Canis lupus familiaris: one gene and its partners. The protein of the gene in region 2 interacts with the protein of the main gene of each other region in a biochemical or structural test. Links are inferred from orthologs where the notes say so. Each region holds a gene or a part of one and is shown on either strand. Other genes may lie near its edges.

Region 1 (4,612 bases), on a different chromosome or scaffold from region 2:
AGCTCAGGGTTGTGAGATCAAGCCTCTCATCGGGGCTTGAGTCAGCTTGGGGTTCTCTCTCCCTCTCCCTCTACCCCTCCCCGCCCTCTAAAATAATTATTTTTTAAAAAAGGAAGAAAGTGGACTAAAGGCTTTCAGGTACCAGCTGAATAGCTGCATCCATCCCAGGGCCCCATCCTCCCACCCCTTCGTGCCTCTCTCTCCCCTCAGTGTTACCCATTTAGAAAGTTGCAGTGGGTCACACAGACACCTCCTCGGCTGTAGTTTCGACAGGACAGGCACTGACCAGGACCTGGGCCCCAGCATCCCCCAGAGGAGCACAGGGGATCACACACTTTGCCCTCTGCCACTGGGAAGGAAGGGGTGAGACAGGAGGAGTCAGCTCTCCTCACGTGCCTTCTGCTGAGCTCTTCCTCTTAAGTGCCTCCAGCCTAACACACCCCTCTCCTTGGCTCTACCCTCTGATCCCTACTCCTGAGCAGAACAGTTTTTACACACTGTACCCTCTCCTCCCTGACTTCTTTTTCCCGGCCACCCTCTGGGCCCTTCCCCTCACCGCAGTCTCTGCGGGGCCGATTATGCTTGATGTCCAGCCTCTCTTCTGGAGGCCCCCGAAGCAGCCTGGTCCAGTTCAGAGAATGGTGGTAGCAGAGTTGCTTGTTGGCACTTATGTAAATACGCCCAGCACTAATTTCTTTCAAAGATCGGAGGCCCAAAGATGTTATATTCAAGTTCTTCATGATCAGCAAAGAGAAACCCCGGCTGAGAACAAGGAAACGAGGTAAGAAGGGAGATTACACAGGGGAAAATGACCATGCAGTGGATTCCTTTTCATTTAACCAATGTGCTCTGGGCCAGTCAGACCGGGAAGAGAGATTCCCCTTCCAACTCTCAGCCCTTTGGGCATGCTGAGACAACACGTGTGCTTCACTCAAAGATGCCTAAGAAACAGGGTTCATTGCCTGGAGGTACTACCACCACCACACTCCTAACTACTCACTTGTATAGGCTTCTGCCCCCAATGGTTGTCAGGTTGGAAAAGACACTGAAGTTGTGCATGTGGGGAGGCCAGGACTGGATGTTCAGGTAACCTGACGGGTTGGAGAGAGGCGCGTCAGCGGGGAAGGAGTCTTCCCTTCTTGCCTTCTCAGGTTCTAGTGGCCCCTCTCCCATCACTTGGGACATGACTTTGTAACTAGTTATACACCAATTTGTGTCAGTGGTTCACTCATTTCTCTCAGAAAGGGTAGCAGCCTCTCTTCCCACTCACCTGTGATCTCCCGTACTGTCCGGAAGACATTGAGCTTCTCAGGGTCCAAGGCAGGGATCTTGTGCCAGGGGTCTCTGGAGAGAACAGTCAAAACCAGTCAACAAGATACAGGTACAACCCAGTCACACCTAGCCTCAGAACTTAAGTTTCTTTTTTCTTTCTTTTTTCCTTTTTAAGATTTTATTTATTTATTCATAAGAGACACATAGAGAGAGAGGGGGGCAGAGACACAGGCAGAGGGAGAAGCAGGCTCCCTGCGGGGAGCCCGACGTGAGACTATCCCGGGTCTCCAGGATCACTCCCTGGGCTGAAGGTGGCGCTAAACCACTGAGCCACCCGGGCTGCCCAGAACTTCATTCTAATACCATCCTCCACTAAAAGGAAACAGGGCTCCTTGGAGAAATGAGTAGGGCGGGAGAAATATAACATGAGTTTATAGCATCTTATGCAAAAAAGGAAGTAAGTGCTCAGAGAATGAAGGGTACAAAGAATCTGGGATCTGGCTTGAAGAAGCCCCCAGTGGCCAGAACAGAGACAAATCAACACCAAAATAATAACTGTAAAAGATTATAAAGGACTGAGTGAAATAGGTACCAATCAATCAATCAATGGGAAAGGAAAACTGTTCCTAACACTAAAATGCCGACAAATAAATGCAAAAGGAATAATGGAGTTAAAAAATCATCATGTGGCAACTCTCATCAAAAAATTGATTCAGGGGATGCCTGGGTGGCTCAGCAGTTGGGCCTCTGCCTTTGGCTCAGGGAGTGATCCTGGAGTCCCAGGATGAGACCCACATCGGGCTCCCTGCATGGGGCCTGCTTCTCCCTCTGCCTGTGTCTCTGCCTCTCTCTCTCTGTGTGTCTGATGAATAAATCAATAAATTTTTTTTAAAAATTGATTCAGGGGGCGCCTGAGTGGCTGTTGGCTGAGCATCCAAGTCTTGGTTTTAGCTGGGGTCCTGATCCCAGGGTCATGGGATGGAGCCCCAGGCCAGCTCTGTGCTCAGCGTGGAATCTGCTTGAGATTCTTTCCCCCTTCTTCTCCCTCCCCATGTGCTTCTTCGCCAACTTGCACACCCGCACACGTGCACAAGCGTGCACACGTGTGTGTGTGTGTGTGTATAAATAAAATCTTTCTTAAAGTAAGTTGATTCGGGCAGGGGCACTTGGCTGGCTCAGTAGTGGTGCATGCGACTCGTGGTCTCAGGGTTGAGTTCAAGCCCCACGTTGGGTATAGAGATAACTTAAAGATAAAAATCTTAAGGGGCGCCTGGGTGGCTCAGTCCATTAGGCATTGGACTGATTTCGGCTCAGGTCATGATCTCAGGGTCCTCCACGTGGGGCTGTGCTCCTGACATGGCCCCACTTGGGATTCCCTCTCTCCCTCGCTCTTTTTTAAAGGATTTTTAAAAATTTATTCATGAGAGACACAGAGAGAGAGAGGCAGAGACACAGGCAGAGGGAGAAGCAGGCTCCATGCAGGGAGCCAAGGTGGGACTTGATCCTGAGACTCCAGAATCACGCCCTGGGCCGAAGGCAGGTGCTAAACCGCTGAGCCACCCGGGCGTCCTTCTTCCTCTCTCTCTTACATAAAGGGGTGCCTGGGTGGCTCAGTCAGCTGGCTGTCTGCCTTCACCTCGGGTAACAGTCCCAGGATCCCAGGATCAAGTCTCACATTGGGCTCCCTACTCAGTGGGGGAACCTGCTTTTCCCTCTCCCTCTGTAGCTCCCCCTCCTTGTCTCTATCAAATAAATGGTTAGATAGATAGATAGATGTAATAAAATCTGAAAACAAAAAACAAAAAAAGTAGTAGGAGAACACAATTTCTTTGTCCACTGCCGTGCAGTGAGACAGTTATCAGATTCCTTGGGGGGGGTCTCAAGGGATTCAAGTCCTGGGTGGCAGACAGAGTTAGGAATGGTCAGGTACTGTGTAACCTTTAAAATTTCATGATTTATATTCCTTTTATTTTTTTTATTTTTAATGATTTTTATTTATTTTGAGAGAGAGAGAGAGAGCAAGCAGGGGGAGGAGCAGAGGCAGGGGGAGAGGATCTCAAGGACACTCCACACTAAGCACAGAGCAGGATGCGGGGCTTGATCTCACGACACCTGGATCACGACCTTAGCTGGAACCAAGAGTCAGACGCTTAACCGACTGAGCCACCCAGGTGCCCCTGTGATTCGTATTCCTAATCAGCTGCACATATGAAGGGTTGAGCCAAATGCAATGAACCGTGAGAGGATGGATGGAGTGGGGGTTAGAGAGGGAATGCAGAGTCTAACCCATTGAGGCCAGTGATCAGAAAGTCCAGGTTGCCCAGGATCTTGGTGCAGTTCACAAATCCATCAATGTTGCTCGAGTCCACAGTCTGGAAGCGGCTCCCGGAGCCTGTCCCCTCACAGGCTGCAAACACAAAAGAGGCTCAGTGGGTGGAGCCTGATTGGTCTCTGGGGAAAGGAAGTTCTCTTCACCAGCTCTTCACCATCTCCTACTCACCTTTGGGGCACAGCCCCCCACAAGGTTCACACATCTTGAGTCCATTTTTATCTACTTCCATCTTGTCAGGAGGACAGGCCCGGACACAAGACGTTTGATCGACCACAAAGTTATCTAGGGAGAGGAGGGCACCATGAGAGACAAGAGAGGAACACTGCCAACGAGCAACTGAACCTTGCTCCCTCCTGCTCTGTGCTGGATCTGTCCCAAACCACCACCCAAGGTTCCTTAAACGCTGTCCTATGGCTGAGAAAAGCTCTTTGCTCTTTGTTGCAGAACTAGGAGCAGTTGCTAGAAATCATGGGAAGTAGACAGGACAGTGGGGAGAGGATTCACCGGAGGTGATTAGATTACAACCTACATCCTCTACCACCCAACTTGATCCCTATATCTCCTAAAATTTTTTCTAAAACCCTGGCTCTACTATCATTGTTCCTCTTCTTAGACACTTACGGGGACAGCTGGCTACACAAACTCCACCATACTGATACTTGGTGTGGGGATTGGGTTCCAGCTGGAAAGTTAGCTTGTTGTAGACCAGAGGCTGTGGACACTGGCGCACACAGGCCCCGCTGTCATTGAAGAGTCGGCAGGCCTAGGAACATAGGAAATTCATAAAACTCACATTATGTAAGTATTCCTACTTCCTCCCCAAAGCCCACATCCCCACTTCAGAACCAGGCAAACAGTGGTACATACAAAGCAGTCTGTATCCTGAGGGCCTGAGCAGCCCCCTGCACACTCATCATGGCAGCACTGGTTGGGGTTGGGCCCAAAGCAATGACCATTACACTGAGGGGCACAGATGGTCTTGGTCACTATAGAAAGAAGAAGCACTGC
Region 2 (5,235 bases):
TGCTATATAATCCTAAGCAAAAAGTTCATTTTTCATCTTCAATTTGCCAAATAAGGATTTAAAAGCCTCATCATTGACTTTTATTTATTTATTTATTTATTTATTTATTAAATTTTATTTATTCATGAGAGACAGAGAGAGGCAGAGACATAGGCAGAGGGAGGAGAAGCAGGCTCCATGCAAGGAGCCTGATGTGGGGACTCAATCCCAGGACTCTGGGATCGTCACGCCCTGAGCCAAAGGCAGAGGCTCAACCACTGAGCCACTCAGGCGTCCCTCATCATTGACTTTTAGATAAAAGACATGTATTGTCCAAATACTAAAGCTAGTTTCTTCTGGTCATCCTTTCCTTTTGGTCTTTAAACAGAACATAGGACCCTGTGACAGAAACAAATCTTCTATGAGCACTGTTCAGATCTCAAAAGGAAAGAGAAAGAAGTACAGAATAGTGTCAGCTCTCTAGTCAGAATTCCGAAGTTGAAAATCTGGCTCAGTCATTTATCAGCTGTGTGACCTTGGGCAAGTTCCTGAATCTCTCTGTTTCCTCACCTATAAAATGAAAATATTTTAGTAAATAGAGATTACAGTATTTCTCACCAGATTGTTATAGACAGAAAATGAGACAAGGCACAGAAAGTACTCAGCAAAGTACTTGGCACAGAATAACCAGTCAATAAATGTTAGCTATTAATACTCTACACGCTTTTCTAAAATTAAAGAAATTCCTCTGTATAGTTTCAAAAAGAAAAGAGCTTGACGGGGAAGCAAGGAGAACAAAGACTAAGTAACCTTTATAAAGACAGCAACTCAATCAATTGCTCTATGTGAAAAACTGGGCACATTACCAGAAACAAGAATTAACACAATGCCTGTGAACTTTCCACACCCCATCCACAAACTCTGGCAATCTTCACCTTCTCTCTTGAGCCAAGGATTTGAACTCCTATCTGTTATGAAAAGGTGGAGCTCAATATCAAGGTAAGCGCAGAGATATAAAGTCATAACACAAAGGTGTGTAGAAAGCTCAAACCAGCAAACCTGCCTGTTGTCATCTCCAAATTTTGCAAAACGCATACATAAAAGGTTGAAAACTGGGGGTGCAGGAGGTTGAAAATTGAATTTCAGTGACAGTTTGACATATTACTGCACTGTAATGCACAACCCTAGATACCAAGAAGGTGGTGAAAAAGCACAACATAGGGATCCCTGGGTGGCGCAGCGGTTTGGCGCCTGCCTTTGGCCCAGGGCGCGATCCTGGAGACCCGGGATCGAATCCCACATCGGGCTCCCGGTGCATGGAGCCTGCTTCTCCCTCTGCCTATGTCTCTGCCTCTCTCTCTCTCTCTCTCTGTGACTATCATAAATAAATAAAAATTAAAAAAAAAAAAAAAAAAAAAGGAAAAGCACAACATATCGGGTTTAGGGCAAATTTATGTTCTATCAATATTCCTGTCTCATGTTATGCTATTAAACCAAACAGACTGGGACGTGCCTGGGTGGCTTAGCGGTTGAGTGACTGCCTTCACCTCAGGGCATGATCCTGGGTCTGGGGATTGAGTCCTGCATCGGGCTCCCAGCGAGAAGTCTGCTTCTCCCTCTGCCTGTGTCTTTCATAGATAGATAGATAGATAGATAGACAGATGATAGATAGATAAATAAAATCTTAAAATAAAAATTAAACCAAGCAGACTGAGAAGACCTAGGATACTTCCTGGATTTAAAGATCTCATACTCTTCCTATAATTGATACGTGTTAGCAACAGAGACTGACTATCCCATCTCCCTATTTCTGGCCAGAGTGAATGAATCTAAATTAGGACTATCCCTAAAGGGCAAGTTTGCAAAGGCTGGCTCAGGAGGCTCCTAATTCTTATGAGACTGGCCTGGAGCTAGCCTCAGCTGGTCAGAAGAAAACTGCTTCAATTTGAAAAATGAGAAAGACTACAACTCTTGGTGCTGTTACACAGATGATGGTAATCTGACAATAACCTCAGAATTACTCTGTATTTCACAAATCTCAAGTACTAAGTGCATGAACCTCCTTAACATTCTCCAAACAGCTCTAAAGGCGTAAGTAGGACAGTCACATCTCAGTGATCCTTGGTTAAGAAAGAAAAGGGCCACAGCCCCAACTTACTGAGCAAGAGGCCCTGACATATGACATTGACAATGCTTAAGTCCAATGAAATTGGAAGTTCCATTCACTTCCAAGGAAGGGACTGTTTCCACTGGCTTATTTCCTGGGAGGGGTGTGGGGGCATAGAATCTGTCCTCCACAAAATACCCTGAAAACTAGAACCCTCTAATTGTGGAAAAGAGTCTCTGGACGCCAAGATCTCTTGGACACGGTCAGCTGGACATCAACTTGTTCTGGGCTGATCACAGAGGGCTTACTTCTGTCACCAAGGCACTTAGCTCACCACCTTCGTCCTCCGCGGGGGAAGAGGACAGTAAAAGTATTTTGGAAAGATGCCCAAGAAAGGAAAAAGCTGACCGGTTTCCTGAGGGTGTCTCCATCCCTCCGGGCTAGTATGTGGTGACTTCCTATCAAAGGCCAGCAGGGGAGAATAGCTCTCCAAACCAAACCCGGCTCTCTAACAGTACAGGAAATGTTTCAAGCCTAAAAAGCCACTTGTAGGATTATCGAATTCATCCTGGGAACCGCTGCCAAGTGATGCCCCCGCAGTGCCAATATCCCCCTCCGCTCTTTGTCCCCACGTTGCCCGCCCTGCCCTAGTGCCTGGCCCCGGCGCTAGCCCCACCCTGGGGCCGAAGCAGTTCCCCTTCCCCTGGGCTGTCCTCCCAAGTCACACCCAGAGGCCTGGGTCAGCGGCTCCTCCTCCACACACACACAACCGCCAGTGGTGGGAACGAGCCCGGGCACCAAGGTACCCCCATGCCAGGGTCGCTCCAGCCCTCTGCCCACGTCCCTCGTGGAGGCTAGCTCGCGAGGGGCAGCCGGTCAGGCTGGCGAGTTCCGCGGCCCTCACCCCGCCCGGGGCCTCCCGTCCCGTCCCGTCCGTCCTCACCGGGCGGAGGCTGGGCGGGCGACGGTGGCACAGACGGGCGCGGGCCGCTGCTGTTGATGATGTAGTGGGAGACGCGCGAGTTCTCCGAGACGCTGAGCACATAGTCCCCGGGGCTGGTGCTCGAGTCCCGCACCAGAAACACCCCGTGCCGCTGGCCCTGCAACAGCGCCACCGCCTCCTGCCGGCTCAACCGCCCCCAGTACCAGCTACTCCGCTCCTCCGAGTCGAAGTTGCCCGCCATGGCCGCCTCCGCGCCTACACGCTGGGCCGCCGCCGGCACGCGCGCCCCTCCTGCCCCGGCGCCCGCCGCCCAGCGGACCGGCTCGGGTCTCAGCTTCACAGCAGTGCCCGAAATGGCGGCGGCGGCCGCGGGCCTTCCCCACCGGAAATGACGCGCACCTTGCCCCCGCGAGGATGCCGGGAAGGGGACCGCAACCCGCCATGGGGAGAAGGGCAAAGGACAGCTCGGGTGCGCACTGCGCATGCGCCGCCGTGTGCGTCGCCGCCTGGCGGGGATCGGGACTGCAGGGGATGGAGGGGCCAAGTCCAGGGCCGGTGGTAGGGGCTCAGCGAGGAGTCGGCGGAGGTTTGTGTTTGCGGTTTTGGCCACGCGGCTCCAGGGTTCGAGTTCCTGGAAGGCCCGGGAATTCTAGGCAGCAACTCCGAGACACAGTTGGACTACAAAAGATGTATGTGGCCTCAGGGCCTGAGCTCCTGGAGACTTTGGTCCTTTTCTGGTGGTTCCTCCATCTTCTCTCTAGACTGGCTTAAGTATTTTGTTTGCACTGATTGACTCAGCAGTTACTGACACCACATTTGCTCTGTGGGTGCAAAGGTGATCAAGGTTTGGGCCCTGACCTCACAGAATTCACAGACCAGTGGGAGGAAGCAGGAACAATGACAAAGGAATTCCAAGCACTGTGAGAGGGAACCAACCAGGAGCTCCAGCCCAGTCTGTAAAGGGATTCAGTCCTCCACCTACCAGAGGAGGTGGCTTGAGCTGAATGTTGAATGGCCAGTAGGGGAAGAGCATGCAAGACAGAGAGAGCAGAATGTGCCAAGCCAGGAGTTCTCTGGATTGAGTCTTTCAAGTCATTTGCCCAGATTCTTCTAAACACTAGTCGTGGCCAGGGGTATCCTCTATTCTCCTTACTATCATGATCTCTGTCTCTGTATTCCATATCTGTATCTGTATTCCTGTGAACAGCCTGTTCACTGGTGCCCTATAGACTTGCTGCTCTAAGTACATTGCACACATCTGACAGTGTGTGCTTTCTAAATTACAACTCTAAGACTGTTCCTACCCTGTGCACAACTTTTAACAGTCTCCAGAACTGGGACGCCTGAGTGGCTCAGTGGTTGAGCATCTGCCTCTGGCTCAGGGGGTGATTCTGGGATGTGGGATCGCATCCCACATCAGGCTCCTTGCAGGGAGCCTCCTTCTCCCTCTGCCTACATCTCTGCCTCTCTCTGTGTCTCTCATGAATAAATAAATAAATAAAATCTTAAAAAAACAAACAAACAACAGTCTCCAGAACTTAAAATTCCCAGTTTAGGTCACAGCATAAAATGAGGTCACAGTGTCCTCTTAACAGCTCCTACATGAACCTTGTGTTTCTTTTTTCTGGAATACCCTTTCACTCCTTTCTGGATCTGAATCTCAAATGTCTTCTCTTTTTTTTCTTTTTTTTTTAAGATTTATTTATTTATTTATTCATGAGAGACACACAGACAGAGGCAGAGACACAGGCAGAGGGAGAAGCAGGCTCCATGCAGGGAGCCTGATGTGGGACTCGATCCCGGGACTCCAGGATCACGCCCTGGGCTCAAGGCAGGTGCTAAACCTCTGAACCACCCAGGGATCCCCCTGTCTTCCCTTTTTTAACCAACTATTACTTCCTCTCTGCATCCATAGCCCTGTGTCCATATTATTTCCATTACAGTTCCTACCCATTGTACTGTAATCCTTCATTCACAGGTCTGTCTGTGTCCTACACTAGAACTCCTCAAAGGCCACACATCTAGTGTAGGAGGCACTACATAAATGTTACAACAGCTACCATTTATTCAGGGAATACTGCCTGCCAGGCATAGCGCTAACTGCCTTTAGTATGGATCATCTCATTTAATCCTCTTAACAGCCTCATGGGTGGTATTTTACAACTATCCCCATTTTACAGGTGAAGCTCAGAGAGGTTAAGTTATT
Region 3 (4,612 bases), about 7.0 Mb from region 2:
TGACCTCAGCCTTGTGGACTTACAGAGCCACCTCTCCCTCCCGCTGGGGGACAAGGCCCACCCAGCTGCCCCTGGGGCTACCCCTTGCTGCCTTTAACCACTCTCCCTGTCTTTGAGGGTGGGCCCCAATCTAGCTGGAGCCAACTGGATGGTCTCATTTGGGAATATGGAATGGAGAGTCGATTCTAGTCGACAGAAGTGTTCTGCCGGACGCTTCAACTGTGGCCAGGGAGCCCTGGGGCTGTATGGCCCAGATGACTACACACACATCCAAATGGTGATGGCCAGTATGTCCAAGAAAGACGGAACAGAATTGTGCTAGTGGAGCCGGGGACAGGGCAGAGCAGGAAGAGACTGGCAACGGGGAGCAGTTTAGCAGAAAAACAATCTCCTGTAGGACTCTACTTAGGAATTTGATGGCCAATTTACAGTTGGAAAATATTCCAACTACAAAAATCTAAAATTTCAGTCTCCCTTCCCCGGCCCTAATAACATCATATATTAAAAATATCTGGCCTAAAAAAAATATATATATATATATATCTGGCCTAAGAAATATCCTCAGCAGCTCCAACCAGGCCTCCTCAGATTCTAAGTCATTAGTGACATTTCATGTCTGCAATGGGGATGGGGGGGCGGGGGCAGGGAACTCTCTAAAGAGAGTTCTAACCCCACACGCTGTCAGGGATATTCAGAAAACCCCTCTGTGGGCGCAGTAAGTTCTAATTAAATTCAAACGTCCATCCTGCTTTACCCGGATGTTACTGTTATGCTGTCCTGAAGCTGTGACATTCATTTCTCTTTGTTGCTGTGTGTTCTGGCCAAACACTCGGACTCTGTGGAGGCCTGGCCTAAGATCTAAGAGGCCATAAAGAGAGGCCGGCTTATCAGGCTCTAAAAACCATCACCAGTACTGACAAAACAAAGCTCCTGAAGTGTCCATGTACCAAGGGCCCCATCTTTTATGAAATTACGAGGCCACTGGTTTGATTCTGGCCTAACGCTCAGATAAAACACAATACCATTTTAGGTTACAAAGTATGCTTCCTGACAACAGCTCGACAAAAGCTTACTGTGTTTGTTTTTCTTCTCTGGTAGAGGAGGTGGTTTTTCTGGGTCACCCGTTGTTGATTCAGGAACAGTGAAATCACCCACAAATTCGACAGAGGCTGAGGACCCTCCTTGCTGAAAGGGGAGAATAGCAGCAAAGGGCGTGAAGGGGATGGACGGGACCGAGGCTGGGTTCTGCAGGTCATCTTCCGAGATATTGTCATATTGTGAGGGGTGCCGCTCGTAGGACATCCTGCAGCCAGAGCTGTCCGTGGTCTGGGAGGCCGCACTCCTGCGCTTCTTCTCAGGGAGAGCAGGTGGCATGTCTATCTGCTGTCCTGGGGCCAAGGGCCCCTCTGGCTGGGGACAGCTGCCAGGCGCTGGAGGCAACTGGAAAGGATGGCCAAGAAATGGAGACCCAGACTCTCCCAAAGACTCTGGCAATGGGCTAAGGTTACAGGCCACTTGCTGAGGTATCTGGTCTGCATTAGAGAGGTCTTGCTGAAGGAATTCGTAGTCAGGATCATAATGATCTGTGTTCACAACAAGAGAAACATACCCATTAGCCACAAGGCCCTGCAGAAAGAAATCATCCAACTCTCTGCTCTTCCTAATCCCTTTTATTCGTGTGCAATGCAAACATAATTCCCATCTCATCTATATGCTTTATTTTATATTGCCCATTCTTCTCCCTCTGAAAAAGTAAAAGCAGGTGGGAAAATGGCTGTTTGCTACCCTGTTCTTTGTATTTTCCTAATTTCTTATTTTAAAGAAAAGAAATATGTGTGACCACTGTAGAAAATATGGCCAAAAAAACCCATATCAGGAAAATAAAAATCATCCACAGTCCCGTAATTTAAGTATCTGTTTACTTTAAAAAAAAAAAAAAAGATTTTATTTATTTATTCATGAGAGGCACAGAGAGAGACAGAGAGAGGCAGAGACACAGGCAGAGGGAGAAGCAGGCTCCACACAGGGAGCCTGACATGGGATCCAAACCTGGGTCTCCAGGATCATGCCCTGGGCTGAAGGCGGTGCTAAACTGCTGAGCCACCCGGGCTGCCCTCTGTTTACATTTTGATGGATTTCTTTAAAAGTCTTTTTTCCCCCCTAGGATTTTTTGTTTTTTAAATCCAACTGAGAAACTGCGATGTCCATGGTCTTAGATTTTATCTAGTGTATTGTCACTGATTTTTCAGAGCTACATATTTATTCTACCAAGTGGATATATGACAACTCATCAGATTTCCTACCGCTGAGTCGTTAGCTTCCAGTTTACCAGTACTCCCAGTGATGCTGAGATTAATGTCCTTGGATAGAAATCTTGCTATAAATCTCTGATCATGTTACAATAAATTCTCAAAGTGAAATGTCCAGCTCATGGGACATGAGCAGTTTAACGCTCTTGAAATCTCCTGCCAAGTGCCTTTTAGACTTTCCTCCGGCCCCCACGGCACATGCTCTGCACCAACCAGGAGGTCAGCATGTGCTGGTCACTTGACTTCACCCTCTGTCAAAAGTCGTCAAGGACTCTCCCCCTTCATCTACAGCTCTGAACAGATGGTTCTTAATGCTGGCAAAGGGAGTCAGATGGTACACTGACAGATTAACCATAATAATGGCTACCATCTGAGGATTTCCTATGTGATTTCATCCAAACTTTCAACCTCCTTGAGAGAGGTAGATATTGGTACCCTCACTCTGCAGATGAGAAAACAGGTTCTGAACGACTTGGCTAGGGCCGTGTGACCCCAGAGCAGCCACCAAAAGATGATGAAACAGGAGGAATGACCAAGATGCCTGGGACTCACCTAGTGTTTCACAGCTTGTGTTCCGGGAGCACTGGCCGCTGTCCCTGTCCAGAGAGGACAGCTGCTCATCTGACTTGCTGAGCTTGCCTATGCTGCTGCAGGGGGACAGACGGGGCGACTCTCCGCCGTATGAGTGGCTGCCTCCTGAGAGTCGCCTCTGTGTGTAACAGTCCACATCAAAATCCTCATGTGGAAAAATAAAAAGCCCAAGTCACTTCTGAGAAATGGTGGCAGAGTCCAGGGGAGAGAAATCAGTACGTTTACTTAGGGAAGGAGACTGCCAAACTCAGAAACCCGGTTGGAAAGCCTGTCTTTGATGTAAGCAATAAAAACCCATGTCTGTGACTTCTGAGAAAGAAGCTTTTACGAGTGCTGGGACTGTGTGGCAAGCGAGGGCCCTGGGGCCAGGCTCAGATGTCCTCAGGAGACACTCCTCAGCTCCAGTCTCTCCATTCCTCCCCCCCCCCTCCCCGGCCATGTGGGAATTTCTACCAGGTCCTGTAGTCCTGTCAAGAGAAGGAATGATCCTCTCAGTGCTAGGAGCTGAAGACCACTGGGTTTCTTTTAGCTTCAGGATTAAAGTTCCCAAACCCAAAGCCTTCCTCTGCCTTGCCAGATGGGGCTACATTACCTGCCTATTAATTCCAACAGGCAAACTGGAGCCACTGGTGGCTCGACTCATGGGGGCAACAACAGCCACTCGGGTCGGGGATGGAGCTGACTGTCTTTTCTTCGGTGGCAATGCTGGTGGAGGACTGAAACAGACCAAGAAATTCTATCAAACCGAATAACCCAAAAACTCTTTAAAAAGACATTAGGGTATAGAATGTGGGATTCTTTCATTATCAGACACATTACACCTACTTTTCACACTTTCAACTCTTGTCCCACACCATCACTGCCCAAATAAATCCTATCAATGCCAAAAAACCAAAAATCAGAAAAATCCTTTCTTATCCTTTTATAATAAATTATACTAAGACTATAAGGCACTCCAAGGGGAGTTCTTGGAGTGTGTAGCAAGGGAAGGTACTGGGGCTGGGCTCACATCCTCCACAGATGCCCTTCCCAAGAAAGATCAAGATTCTAAGGCTTCCAAAGAGCAAAGGGCTGGTTCCAAGTTCTTGACCTAATGGCACTGTCTTCATTTTGTTCATCTACCTATTCTTTCATTAGATTATATCATAAGTAGAAGAAGGTGCAAGAAAAACAATTACCTGTTATCAACCACCCGAATGCCAGGTAAGGGGGGCTTAGGGGGCGCAACCTCCTCATCTGTTGAGTCTGGGAGTAGCTCGGCCGACTGGGACATGCCAGTTGTCTTGTTGAGAATCTCCACCTCGCAATCTGTCAGGGGGAGCTCAGACTGGCTGGAGAAGGAGAAGAACTTGGATTACAGAAGGTTACAGAGCACACAGAGGTCCTGGGCAGGGTGCAATGGGACCCGAGCATGGAAATAATGGGGGGCACCGGGCCGAGGGGCAGGAGCCCTAGACACTGTGTCTGGAGCTCCACAGCAGAGATGGGTTTTGAGTCTGGGTGGATCACCAACACACAGCAGGAGCCTGGCCAAGTCCTCCTGACTGCATCTCAGTTTCCTTGTCTGTAAGAGGAAGCCTCAGACTCCATGGTCTAAAGGCTCTCCAAAGGCTCCAAATTTATGTTTTATATTTTTTCTAGGGGCTTGTAGTAGTACTTGTTGCAAGGCCTTAAAAATTGTCCACATTGCCCTCAGTTTATTTTCTTGACAA

The links. The genes of interacting proteins can lie anywhere in the genome.
Region 1: the proteins of CRK (region 2) and ERBB3 form a complex in vitro, tested with the Homo sapiens proteins (2 studies listed by BioGRID and IntAct, with this or other methods). The link is inferred for Canis lupus familiaris from reciprocal best matches to the Homo sapiens genes CRK and ERBB3.
Region 3: the proteins of CRK (region 2) and RAPGEF1 form a complex in vitro, tested with the Homo sapiens proteins (4 studies listed by BioGRID, with this or other methods). The link is inferred for Canis lupus familiaris from reciprocal best matches to the Homo sapiens genes CRK and RAPGEF1.

What each region holds. Positions count from the first base shown.
Region 1 is NC_049231.1:764,358-768,969, reverse strand, and holds part of ERBB3 (receptor tyrosine-protein kinase erbB-3), read right to left. Parts: intron 4,591-4,612; coding exon 4,472-4,590; intron 4,368-4,471; coding exon 4,226-4,367; intron 3,887-4,225; coding exon 3,773-3,886; intron 3,680-3,772; coding exon 3,559-3,679; intron 1,345-3,558; coding exon 1,271-1,344; intron 1,092-1,270; coding exon 1,001-1,091; intron 763-1,000; coding exon 557-762; intron 350-556; coding exon 217-349; intron 1-216. UniProt on the Homo sapiens protein: Tyrosine-protein kinase that plays an essential role as cell surface receptor for neuregulins.
Region 2 is NC_049230.1:45,570,261-45,575,495, forward strand, and holds the start of CRK (adapter molecule crk), read right to left. Parts: upstream 3,378-5,235; 5' UTR 3,271-3,377; coding exon 3,030-3,270; intron 1-3,029. UniProt on the Homo sapiens protein: Involved in cell branching and adhesion mediated by BCAR1-CRK-RAPGEF1 signaling and activation of RAP1.
Region 3 is NC_049230.1:52,613,612-52,618,223, reverse strand, and holds part of RAPGEF1 (rap guanine nucleotide exchange factor 1), read right to left. Parts: intron 4,232-4,612; coding exon 4,079-4,231; intron 3,617-4,078; coding exon 3,493-3,616; intron 3,046-3,492; coding exon 2,862-3,045; intron 1,584-2,861; coding exon 1,074-1,583; intron 1-1,073. UniProt on the Homo sapiens protein: Guanine nucleotide-releasing protein that binds to SH3 domain of CRK and GRB2/ASH. Transduces signals from CRK to activate RAS. Involved in cell branching and adhesion mediated by BCAR1-CRK-RAPGEF1 signaling and activation of RAP1.